Linked DNA regions of Ovis aries. Each later gene encodes a partner of the first gene's protein in a complex. Links are inferred from orthologs where the notes say so. Each region holds a gene or a part of one and is shown in the gene's direction. Other genes may lie near its edges.

Region 1 (4,079 bases):
GGAACTCAGGTGTTCTCATTCTAAATCCAGTTGCATCTTTCCTGGAACTAAAGGGACCGAGAATTTTCTCCACTCTTGACTGTAGCCAACAGCCTAGGAAGAGCTTAGGAAGCCTATGGGAAGGCTGCAGAACTGCCCCCTTGAACGTTCAGCACCAGGGTTGAGGAACTCAGTGGAGTGAGAACTGAAATCCGAGTTTTCCTGGCAAGAGCTCAGATTAGTCACATGGAGGCATTTGGAGGATTCCCCAAGACTGCTCATTCCTCAGGGATCACTCACTCCTCCCAGGACCTCCCCTGGGAACAAAGGAAAACCCAAGACTTGGGACTGGGCCCTTTTCCACCAACAGCTGCTAGTAGTTTGCATTTAACCCTGAACCACAATTAAAATAAATGTTGGGGGTGGGGGAGTGGATAGCACCAGCTAGGAAACCCTTAGGTTTTCTCTAAATTACTTCCGAAGTGCTTTGAGGACCAAACAGGCCAATTTCAGGGGAAAAAAAAAAAAGGAAAAAAAGGAGATTCTTAAACAGGTTTTAATCATGTCAACTACAGCCGAAACTGAACGCCAGACCAACTGCCACGCACGCTAAGAGGGGTCAATTTCCAGTTCAACGAAAGGTTCTTAATGCCCTGGAGCTAAAAAGCCAAACAGCACCACCACCCCCTTCACTGCGGCGGGTAGTGAACTCGCCTTCTCCGAGAACAACCCTTAGGCGGGGCGGCGGGTGAGGGGGAGACCCCCCGCAGGCCTTGGACCCCCCCCCTCCCAATTTACCTCTTAGAGTCTAATCTGAAACCAAGTCTGAGGCCTTTGCGTCAGGTGCCCCTCCCTACAATATCATGTAGAAAATAATTCCTAGACCTGTAGTTTACAGACGAGGAGCTTACAATCTGGTTCCGGGCCAGCGCGCCCCACCCGCAGAACGACTGGATTCTTTGATTTCCACACTTACTCGCTAAAAGCAAACCCTAGAGGAAGGGCACGAAAATATTCGAGAGCATTTGAGTAGGAAGAGTTGACAATATCTTTCTCTCTGGGGGCGGGTGGAGGCCTGGAGCGAGGCTACTCCGCATAGCGAGAGAAGGGTGTGTGCGCTGCGCCCGGGGTGTGAGTGTGGCGGGGCGGGGGGAGAGGGAGGCGGGCAGGAAGAGGAGGGAGGGGAAGAGGTGGGGTGAGCCGAGGCCCTGCCACCCGCCCAGGCTCCTCCTGCCTCCCCCCGCCCCCCACCCCCACGTACTAAGGCGCCCTGCCCGCGGCGCTGTGCTCACTGGCCGCGCGTCCCCGCCAGCCGAGCGTCCCCGCTGCGCCTCCCGCCAAGGTGAGTCCTGCCCGCCGGTCCCGGGCGGTCCCCGGCCCCACAGCCCGCGCCCGGGGAAATCCCCACGTCGGCGGCTCCCGCTGGCCAGGCGGTCTTCACCGGGCGTCCCAGGTGTGGGGGTGCGACGATGGTGGTGGTCCGGCGTCGGCTGGGCATGCGGGGGTATCCTCTCCCCGAGCTCTGGGCCACACCCCAGCTGGGCGAGCACCTCCCCTGTCCCTCCCCGGCGCGACCCCCCCAGACCCCCAGAGGAGGGAGCACTTGGCCTTTACCAGTACTTCGGTGTCGGTGCCCCGGGGTCTGCTCTGCGCTACCTTTCGGTATATCTTTGTTTACACCCCTCCTGCTTTTCGACTGGTCTCCGCAGTTACCCGAATCCCTGTTTCTGGCCCCCTGTCCTGGCCGGCTTGTTTCTTTGTGGGCTCCGGCTGCAGGCTGACTTCTGTCCAGATGTTCGTAGCCTCCTAGCTGGACGGCCCGTGCAGACTCGGAGAGGGCTGGCGGGTTCTCGCCCTAAAGGACACCCCTCTGTCCCTCTCCTCGAAGCTTCAAGGTTGGGCTTCCTGTTATTTGTCTGCTAGACGAGAAGTTTCTCTCTACCAGCGGAGGGAAGACGGCTCTATTTGTTTTCCTTATAAAACAGTTTTGCTGAGGGGGTAAGGGGAAGCCATCACCTTCGGCCACCACTGAAGTGGGTTTTGTACTGAAAGGGTTCCCTTCTTGCTATTTTAGTGGATCTATACAGAGATAGAGGAAGAGCAAGTTTAATGAAGGATCTAACACCCCAGATTAACCTGGCCCAGTAAAATGAACTGTTGGTACCTGGACACAATTTGAGCCTGGCAAAGGACTGGTGCTTTGCCCCCAGACCTGAATACCGCACTCTCCAGCCTCGGGCGGTCTCCACCTAACTGAAACCCGGAATCTGCCTTGTTGGGCGAGGGTGGAGGGGCCAGCAGAGCAGCTAGCCCTGTGCCAGGCACCACGGGGCCCTGGTCCAGACTCTGGAATACGTTAAGCCCACCCGCTTCCCTCCCTTGAGGTTTCTGCAGGGCGTGGTTAGCACAAAGGGCTCCCGGATTCTCCTAGTGGAAGCCTGTGACTCAGTTGTGAGACCATGTGGGTGTGGTCTGGATGGTTCCAGACTCTCTGCAGATGGTTCAGACAGAACACTCCCCTGAAGGAAAAGGGGAACTGTGCCATTTTAGAGGGCATTTTCCAAGAGGAAATGAGTCACACCCGGACAGGCCGGCCATCTGAAGGAGAGGTTTCTTGACTGAACTGTGGTTGAGGACAAGTTAGATTGGTAGGGTCATGGCGTTTCAGCTGCTGGGTTATGGGTCTGGATTCCCACTGGCAGGCTGCCTCAGCTTTATTTGGGAGGTAGTGCTTCCCATTGAGAGGTTTGCAGTTACTGCAGATTCTTTTTCCCCTACAGCATGAGTTTCAAACTGCAGCCGTGGACTTATATCCTGCCCTTCAGGTGAGGCCAGGCCCACGGAAACACCCTGTCAGTGATCTTTGCCTCCAGCATATTTCATCAAATTGCAAAAGGTGATGCCAGGCATTAGGGCAGGAATGAGTTCACAATTCATCTGAAATTTCTTCCTCAGCCCTGCCCGCACAGACTCCTGTCTGGTTTCTGTTTAATCATCTCTTCCAAGTGATGTATTCCTCCCTTGACAGCCAGAAGCTACTTTCTTCACTGTGGTCCTTGATCCACCATTTGGAGATTCTTATTTTGTTTCTTCAGATTCTCCTAATGGTCTTCTGGGCATAAAGCACTCTGATTTCTAGGCGATGCTCTTCCCCGGCTTTTCCTGTGTACAACATCAGATGGCCCCCTTGCCTCCCATGTCTGGCACCTGGCCAACCTCTCCAGCAGCTACTCTCCAGTGAGGTCAGGCCTTGGGCTGGGTGGAGCTGAAACTGAGTGCCTCTTTGCTTTCCACGGACAGCTCCAACCCTGTGACTTTTTTAGAGCACTACCCACTTGGTATGGCCTTGATCCAGTCCAGTCTTTTAAAGTTGAAGGAAACAATGGAATCCTTTCAGAGATATAAAGTATAGATTAGCACTCAGACTGCTAGGAAAGCTGATCTTTTTAGAGTCTTAAGGTTCTCATTTTTCTGAGACTCAACAATTTAGGAATCTCACATCGAAAGCAAAAAGAATGATTTTTAACGATTTTCAGCACTTCCTGGCCCTTTATTAAATAACTACCACCTAATCCAACAATGGATTTAATAGCTGTTGTCACAATGGCCGTTTGCCAGTTCTGGCTGATACCTGACAGCTCTTCATGGAGAATTGGATGTACTTTGTTAGGGTAGGAAGGCCTCAGAGTTCTTCCTATAGGATTGTATCTGGAACTCTTATTTTGCCGCTCATTTTCTTAATGGGAAAATTTTATGTTTGGTGAAAGGTGGGAGAGACAGCCTGGATTAGATCCATTGCCTCAACTCACTTTTGCTGAATTCCCTTTAGGGATCAAATTCAAGAATGCCTTTGGGGTTCAATTCCCGATCCCACTCCCCTTCCCTCACCCCCCTTTTTTTTCTTTTTAAAATCATCAAAAAGAAGGACACCTAAGACACGTTTTAGATAACATGTTTGTTTTTACTAACATTCTGCTAATTGTTTTTTGGGTGGGCTGTAAGAAAACTAGGGCATGGACAAGACACAGAAGAGATCAGACTTCTTGCTCTTTAGAAATCTCCTTTTTGAAATTATGGCCTGGATCTGGGCATGGGTCCAT
Region 2 (3,516 bases), on another chromosome or scaffold:
TGAACAATGCTTAAAAAAAAATCTGTTTTGACTTCTGGCAGTACCACTGGCAATATCTGCCGTATGGTACAGTAGACATTGCCCTTGTGATGGGAACTGTGGACAGTCTGTGGAGAGCTTGGGCCAAGTTTGAAATTGCCAAGGTCACTTTTAAATATAGAGAAAAAACACTCAGAATTTTCCTGTGTTAAAATGGGCATATCAGTGATGCAAGAAAACAAATCTATGTTGCTGTACCTATTTTACATTTCAACAATGTTAAGAAATAACATTTCTTCCAATGCATGAGTTATTTTTTAGACTATATTTACATCCTCGAGATTGACAAACTGCCCCTTAAAATATGTGAAGATGCTTGGTAGTCTCTGTATAATATTCTTATAGAATGTTGTGTAGACCTTTTGCTAAGGGAAGGAATTTTGGTTTTGCAAGCACCTCTACAAATCATGATTAAAAACTCTGGGAGAAGAGGCTTTGGCTCATAGATTAGATTGAGGAATAAAATTCAGAATTAACTATTAACCTGAGGCTTAGCTCATATTATACAAACTACTTTTTCAGGGGCACATAAACTCTAATAAGTTTAATTAATAGCTGACACACTTCTCATGTGGATAAGTAAGTTTCTTATTGTATTAACACCTTATAATTGATTTACATTTTAAACAGTGGTAATTCTGCTTAGTTCAAAGTGATATTTCCATATTCGGAAAGATGAGTATTAGAGAATCCTGATTATTAAATCTTGACTTTGATCATGAAGCCAGCTTTGAAATACATGTTTCACTGAGTCCTTTCAAGCTATCTGGCACGCCAGCTCAAAAGTGTATATATTAAATTTGAATACATCACCCATCAAATTCTCATTCCTTAATAAAGTGTTGGTGTCTAGGTTTATTTGGCGCTTCATTATTTCCTTTTGCTTCTCTAAAATGCCTGAAGAGTGCATAGTAATCAAGCAAAAATGGAAGTACAAGAATGAAATTTTTAACATTAACCCAGTTTTACATTTCAAAGAGGTAAAGCTAAAAATTTTATCTTATCTATACCTTTCCCTCATAAAAGACTTATTTCAGTCTAACAATGCTGGCTGCCAACAACAGCTCAAAATCTCTATATTCCTTTATTTTAAATTAATGAGCAGAATTGTGTAATAAAGTAAATGATTTCTTATCTGTGAAAATAATGGCTGATTATTAGAGGAGTTGAAAAATAAAGAAACAAAGAGAAGATGAAGTTATTCATTTTATAAACCCATCGCCAAAAAGGGCTGTATTCTAACATGTTGGTATATTCCATTACTGTCTCTTCCCATTTAACTATATGTTTATATATAGTGGGGAAATATATATATATATATATATGTGTGTGTGTGTGTGTGTGTGTGTGTGTGTGTGTGTGTGTGTATGTGTATATATATATATATATATATATAGTTGAGCTAAAAATAAAAAATGCCAGTTAAACTGTCCTTTATTCTAGTAAAGCTTTTTTTTTTTTTTAAAGGAATAGAATATAACATTACCTTGTGCCAAGGACTCAGTACAGATCCCTCAGGAGGAATGCAGAAAGGGACGCACTGTAGACCGAACTCATGCGTGCAGTTTACCTGATTGAGTTCAGAGAAGTGGGCTAGTGGCCGGGAGGGGTTTCCCTGCTAATGTCTGTGCTGCCTGGTTCCCAGGGGCTGGGGACTGATGAGGACTCTCTCATTGAGATCATCTGCTCAAGGACCAACCAGGAGCTGCAGGAGATCAACAGAGTCTACAAGGAAAGTGAGTAGCCCCAGGTCCATGGTGCATCCACTCCACCTTGTGTCTGGGACCACTGTCCTGGCCTCCTGGTCTGGTGTTCAGGATAGGATCCCTTGATTCCATGTGTAGAAATACCTGCCATCTGGACTGTCCAGGGGTTTGCTGTGACCAGGTCACTCTCCTCCATCTCCTGATAGCCTGGTCTTTGTGACTACATCCCCCTAAAACTAGTTCAGAAGGATATATGGGAGGGAAAGCAGAGACTATCAAACAAAAGAGATCTGATGGGGAGAAGTAGAAAGTATCCCCCGTGGATTTCATGTACTGAGTGCTGTCCTGTGTCTGCTGAGGCGATTCCCAGACTTGACTGTGGGTCATTGTTTCAAGAGACAGCAGAACCACGTGTGCCAAGCAGTAGAGGAGGCCAGAGGTGGAGTGAGTGATGCAGCATGCCTGGTGTGCGGTACTTCATTTCAACATAGGTGTTGAGTAGGAAAATACAAATTCATTCAAAAGTACCCTTTAATTCTTACTAATTTTTTGCCATTGTGCATTTTCTCAATCAGTGGATATAAAGCACAATTGTGTTTGTGTGTGTGTAGTCCTCCAAATTTTTTCATGTTCTAAATAAGTATAATCAAGAAGTTTGGGAAGTAGTATTTTAGCTAGACAGGAGGTCCCTAATCAAAGGCGAGCTTGAGAATTCCCTGTCTGATCCTGCTCTGTGTATTGCTTGTCACTGATAATAATATAATAATACTAGTTCTGATTTTATGAGGGTAAAATTCCTTCTTGAGAATCCACCCTCATTTTTAGGGGTACATCCACGCTGCCACAGATTTCTGCTTTTCAGAGGCTTAGTGGGCAGAGGATGGGTAGGGTGGCTGGCTGCGTAGGCAGGAGGTGTTAAACCAGATGTGTTGTTTTCCAAGTGTACAAGACCGATCTGGAGAAGGACATTGTTTCCGACACATCTGGCGACTTCCGCAAGCTGATGGTCGCCCTCGCAAAGGTTAGTTTCCGGCTCGTTTCTTTGTCCTTGCTTCCTCCCAAAGCAAGTTACATACCTCATTTTATACTCGGGAGCGAATTAACTCAGTCCTCTGGGCCTGCATCAGAAATTCCAGCTGTATTTTGACAGTGGGTTTGCACTGTCAACTGCAGAGTTGTCATTTTTGTATAATAGGATTTCTTATCCTGCAAAACCGTATGGTCAGGTGGACTTTGGGGCCAGAGGTGGAAGAGGCAGCTCTTAGCTCCTGGCCTGGATTTCTGTGCCAGCCTTGTGACTTGGGGAAAGTCATTTTGCCTCTCTATGTTGTCACATAGGACCCAGTGGGAAGTGACCCTCTTGTTTCTTTCACCTGTTATAATTTCTTAGGGGATGGTTTGCCCAGGTAGTGGTTTGCCTGGGGAGAAGCTCTTTGCTTGTTTGCCAAGGTTAACACATTAATGTAGCTGAAAGGCACTTCCCTTCTAAGTCTGAGTTCTGACCCATGTGCAGTTTAATGACTCTGAGCGCTGCAAGGGAAGAGGAATTTTCATCCAGGAACCCTGAAGACAAGTGGGCACACTCCATCCTGGCCACCTACACCTCCATTCCGCCCTCCCCAGCTCCCTTCTCTACCACCTGCCCTGAGTCTGGTCACCTACCCATCATTTTGAAATCTACTTGTACTGTTTTACTCATACCCTGATCAAAACTCATTTCTGCTGTATCACATACAAACCCTCAACTGCCTCAGGCATCCTCTGTACCCTG
Region 3 (3,516 bases), about 140 Mb from region 1:
TCAGATTCTGGAGAACTTAGGCTTAGGAACCAGCCTGCCTGGATTCAAATTCTAAGCTCTGCTACTTATTAACTTTATGACCTTGGACAAGTTACTTAACTTTCCTGTGCTTTAGTGTCTTCATCTGCAAAATGGAGATAATGATAAGACCTACCAGTAGGGTTGTGACAGTTTTGAAAGTCAGTCTGTATAAGGTACTTAGAACAATGTTTGGTATGTAATAAGCATTCAGGAGATTATCTGTTTTTGAAGTTATGTTGGGAATTTTATATAATGTGTATCTGTTAGTTTTGATTATACCTTTTATATATCAAGGATTTTTTTAACTTTCCAATTAATGTAAATTAGGAAAATACTGCAAAAGAATTATTTTAAAATATATTCTGTAATATTTCTGTAGAAATATGAGTCTAAGAAAATGTACATTTCTTATGTGTGGTGTTATTCAGCAAGCATTAAAAAAATGAATGGAAATCCCAGATAAAGTACAGTGAAATCTATCATATATTTATTATTTATAACATATCTGTTTATTTTTATTAGGTTAATAATAATGAAATGGTTGCATTACAACGAGAGCCGAATAACCCCTATGATAAGAATGCAATTAAAGTAAACAATGTGAATGGAAATCAGGTTGGTCATATAAAGAAAGATCTTGCAGCTGCCTTGGCCTATATCATGGACAACAAATTGGCACAAATTGAAGGGTAATGCACTTCTGGAGTTTAGTTTCAATAATTGTGAATTGTGGTGATCTTGAATTTAAGGATATGTATAGTTGCTCTGACAACTTCTGTGACTATACCTTTAGTATATGTTCAGTAAATGTTTTAATTTTATCATCTGCCTGCACTACCCTAACCATCAGATAGCTATTCCCTCACTTTCCTGGTAAATTATTACCATGGAGAAAAAGAGACTTTGGTTCAAATATTAAAAAGTCCATACAATCTTTTAGGAAAAAAAGCCTTTTTGTTGTTGTTCAGTCACTCAGTCATGTCTGACTCTTTGCGACCCCATGGACTGCAGCACGCCAGCCTTCCCTGTCCTTTACCACCTCCCAGTGCTTGCTCAAACTCATGTCCATTGAGTCGGTGATGCCATCCAACCATCTCATCCTCTGTTGTTCCCTTTTCCTCCTGGCTTCTATCTTTCCCAGCATCGGGATCTTTTCCAATGAGTGGGCTCTTCGCATCAGTTGGCCAAAGTATTGGAGCTTCAGCTTTGGCATGAGTTCATCCAGTGTGAATATTCAGGGTTGATTTTCTTTACGATTGACTGGTTTGATCTTCTTGCTCTCCAAGGGACTCTATAGTATCTTCTCCAACACCACAGTGCAAAAGCATCAGTTCTTCAGCACTCAGCCTTCTTTTTGGTCCAACTTTCACATCTATATGTGACTATTGGAAAAACCCATAGCTTTAACTAGATGGACCTTTGTCCACCATGATTTTAGTTTTTTGAATGTTGAGTTTTAAGCTAGCTTTTTCACTCTCTTTCACTTTCATCAAGAGGCTCTTTTGTTTCTCTTTGCTTTCTGCCATAAGGATGGTATCATCTGCATGTGTAAGGTTATTCATAGTTCTCCTAGCAGTCTTGATTCCAGCTTGTGCTTCATCCAGCCTGGCATTTTGCATGATGTACTCTGCATATAAGTTAAATAAGCAGGGTGACAATATACAGCCTTGACGTACTCCTTTCCCAGTTTGGAACCAGTCGGTGGTTTCATGTCCGATTCTGAGTGTTGGTTCTTGACCTTGTGTACATATTTCTTAGGAGGCAGGTAAGGTGGTCTGGTATTCCCATCTCTTAAAGAATTTTCCAGTTTGTTGTGATCCACACAGGCTTTAGCATAGTCAATGAAGCAAATGTTTTTCTAGAATTCTCTTGCTTTTTCTATGATCCAGTGGATGTTGGCAATTTGATCTCTGGTTCCTCTGCCTTTTCTAAATCGAGCTTGTACATCCAGAAGTTTTCGGTTCACGTACTATTGAAGCTTAGCTTGGAGCATTTTGAGCATGACCTTGCTAGTGTGTGAAATGAGTTTAATTGTGCAGTAGTTTGAACATTATTTGGCATTGCCTATTTTTGGGATTGGAATGAAAACTGACCTTTTCCAGTCCTGTGGCCACTGCTGAGTTTTCCAAATTTGCTGGCATATTGAGTGCAGCACTTTCACAGCATCATCTTTTAGTCTTTGAAATAGCTCAGCTGGAATTCTATCATTTCTACTGGCTTGGTTCGTAGTGATGCTTCCTAAGGCCCACCTGACTGGCCACAATGTCTTGCTCTAGGTGAGTGATCGCACCATCGTGGTTGTCTGGGTTTATCTTCTTTGTTATCTTTGGTGGTTATCTTCTTTGTATAGTTCTTTTGTGTATTCTTGCCACCTCTTCTTAATATCTTCTGCTTCTGTTAGGTCCATACCAATTCTGTTCTTTATTGTGCCCATCTTTGCATGAAATGTTCCCTTGGTATCTCTAATTTTTTTGAGGAGAAAAAAAGGCCTTTTAGTGTATTGATTTTAGAAGTTTGGGAATGTTTGTTTAAATCTGGTTGTAAGCTGATAGTCTGTGATCAGTTCCAGATGAGTTTGATTTTGCCTGCAGTGTTTAAATTTTTTCGGTTATTTCCAGTATTAAAATATGTGGATGTTCTGCATTTTATGCATATTATTTTTTCCCTAATTATAAAACATTATTTACAAAGTTTTCTCTTGATAAATGGAAGATCTGGTAATACAGGATACTGATTTCCACTTGACATCATTTGACTGGAGCTAGGTAGCAGCTGTTGCATTAATTAGGCATATCCCTTCTTAGTTTTACCACCTGTTCCTTTTTTAAAACTCAGTCTCCTTGGTTGTGTTTTGTATGCGTTTATGTTTGTGATCTAAATTTTAGTGTAGATTGTTTAGAATATTTAAAGGTGAGTTTGGAAGATAAATACTTAGCAGTGTCTTCTCACTTATTTACTTGTTTTCTCCTTTTTCAGTTCATTTCCTTTCTCAGGCTTTTCAGATGTTGAGAGTAAACTTTCAATAAATCCTGAATCAGAAATAATTCTTTGAAATCATTCCCCATTTTCTCAGATTGGGTTGCTACACTCAGTGGTTCTGTTAGTGAAAGCTCTACCTTCTCAAGTAAACTTACTATTTTACTTATCTTACAACCTTGGTAATAGGTTATCTTATGTATTTAAACACTTCTATCTCAGTTTCTTCTGGCATTCTGATCCTAAAAACTGCCCTTACCTTCTCATTATTGGTCCTCCTCCATGTTCTTTTTCTTGCTAGTCTGCCCAGTTAGATACTTTTTGTTGTTGTTCAGTTGCTCATTCATGTCCGACTCTTTGCAACCCCATGGACTGTAGTACTCTAGGCTTCTCGGTCCTCCACAATCTCTTTCTGTTTTACTTCCAAGTAAAATTTGCACGTGACAGATATTTAACATGATTCTTAATGGGACTTAAAATTAAATGTAAAAAATAACTCTATTAACTTCTCATTTTTTT

What was found. The genes of interacting proteins can lie anywhere in the genome.
Region 2: the proteins of S100A10 (region 1) and ANXA2 are in contact, whole or in part, in a crystal structure (PDB 4FTG), measured with the Homo sapiens proteins. The link is inferred for Ovis aries from reciprocal best matches to the Homo sapiens genes S100A10 and ANXA2. Residues at the interface, in NP_002957.1 of Homo sapiens: Phe39, Gly41, Phe42, Asn45, Gln46, Ala51, Lys54, Ile55, Leu79, Ala82, Cys83, Tyr86, Phe87, Met91; in NP_001002857.1 of Homo sapiens: Val4, Glu6, Ile7, Leu8, Lys10, Leu11, Ser12, Leu13.
Region 3: the proteins of S100A10 (region 1) and HLTF are in contact, whole or in part, in a crystal structure (PDB 4HRE), measured with the Homo sapiens proteins. The link is inferred for Ovis aries from reciprocal best matches to the Homo sapiens genes S100A10 and HLTF. Residues at the interface, in NP_002957.1 of Homo sapiens: Phe42, Asp58, Leu59, Asp60, Gln61, Gln70, Ser74, Leu75, Ala77, Gly78, Leu79, Ile81, Ala82, Tyr86; in NP_001305864.1 of Homo sapiens: Thr32, Phe33, Phe34, Pro35, Phe37, Phe39.

The regions. Positions count from the first base shown.
Region 1 is NC_056054.1:101,966,210-101,970,288, reverse strand, and holds the start of S100A10 (protein S100-A10), read left to right. Parts: upstream 1-1,269; 5' UTR 1,270-1,321; intron 1,322-1,593; exon of another isoform or gene 1,594-1,877; intron 1,878-4,079. UniProt on the Homo sapiens protein: Because S100A10 induces the dimerization of ANXA2/p36, it may function as a regulator of protein phosphorylation in that the ANXA2 monomer is the preferred target (in vitro) of tyrosine-specific kinase.
Region 2 is NC_056060.1:48,019,923-48,023,438, forward strand, and holds part of ANXA2 (annexin A2), read left to right. Parts: intron 1-1,684; coding exon 1,685-1,775; intron 1,776-2,686; coding exon 2,687-2,766; intron 2,767-3,516. UniProt on the Homo sapiens protein: Calcium-regulated membrane-binding protein whose affinity for calcium is greatly enhanced by anionic phospholipids. It binds two calcium ions with high affinity. May be involved in heat-stress response.
Region 3 is NC_056054.1:239,824,516-239,828,031, forward strand, and holds part of HLTF (helicase-like transcription factor), read left to right. Parts: intron 1-543; coding exon 544-710; intron 711-3,516. UniProt on the Homo sapiens protein: Has both helicase and E3 ubiquitin ligase activities. Possesses intrinsic ATP-dependent nucleosome-remodeling activity; This activity may be required for transcriptional activation or repression of specific target promoters.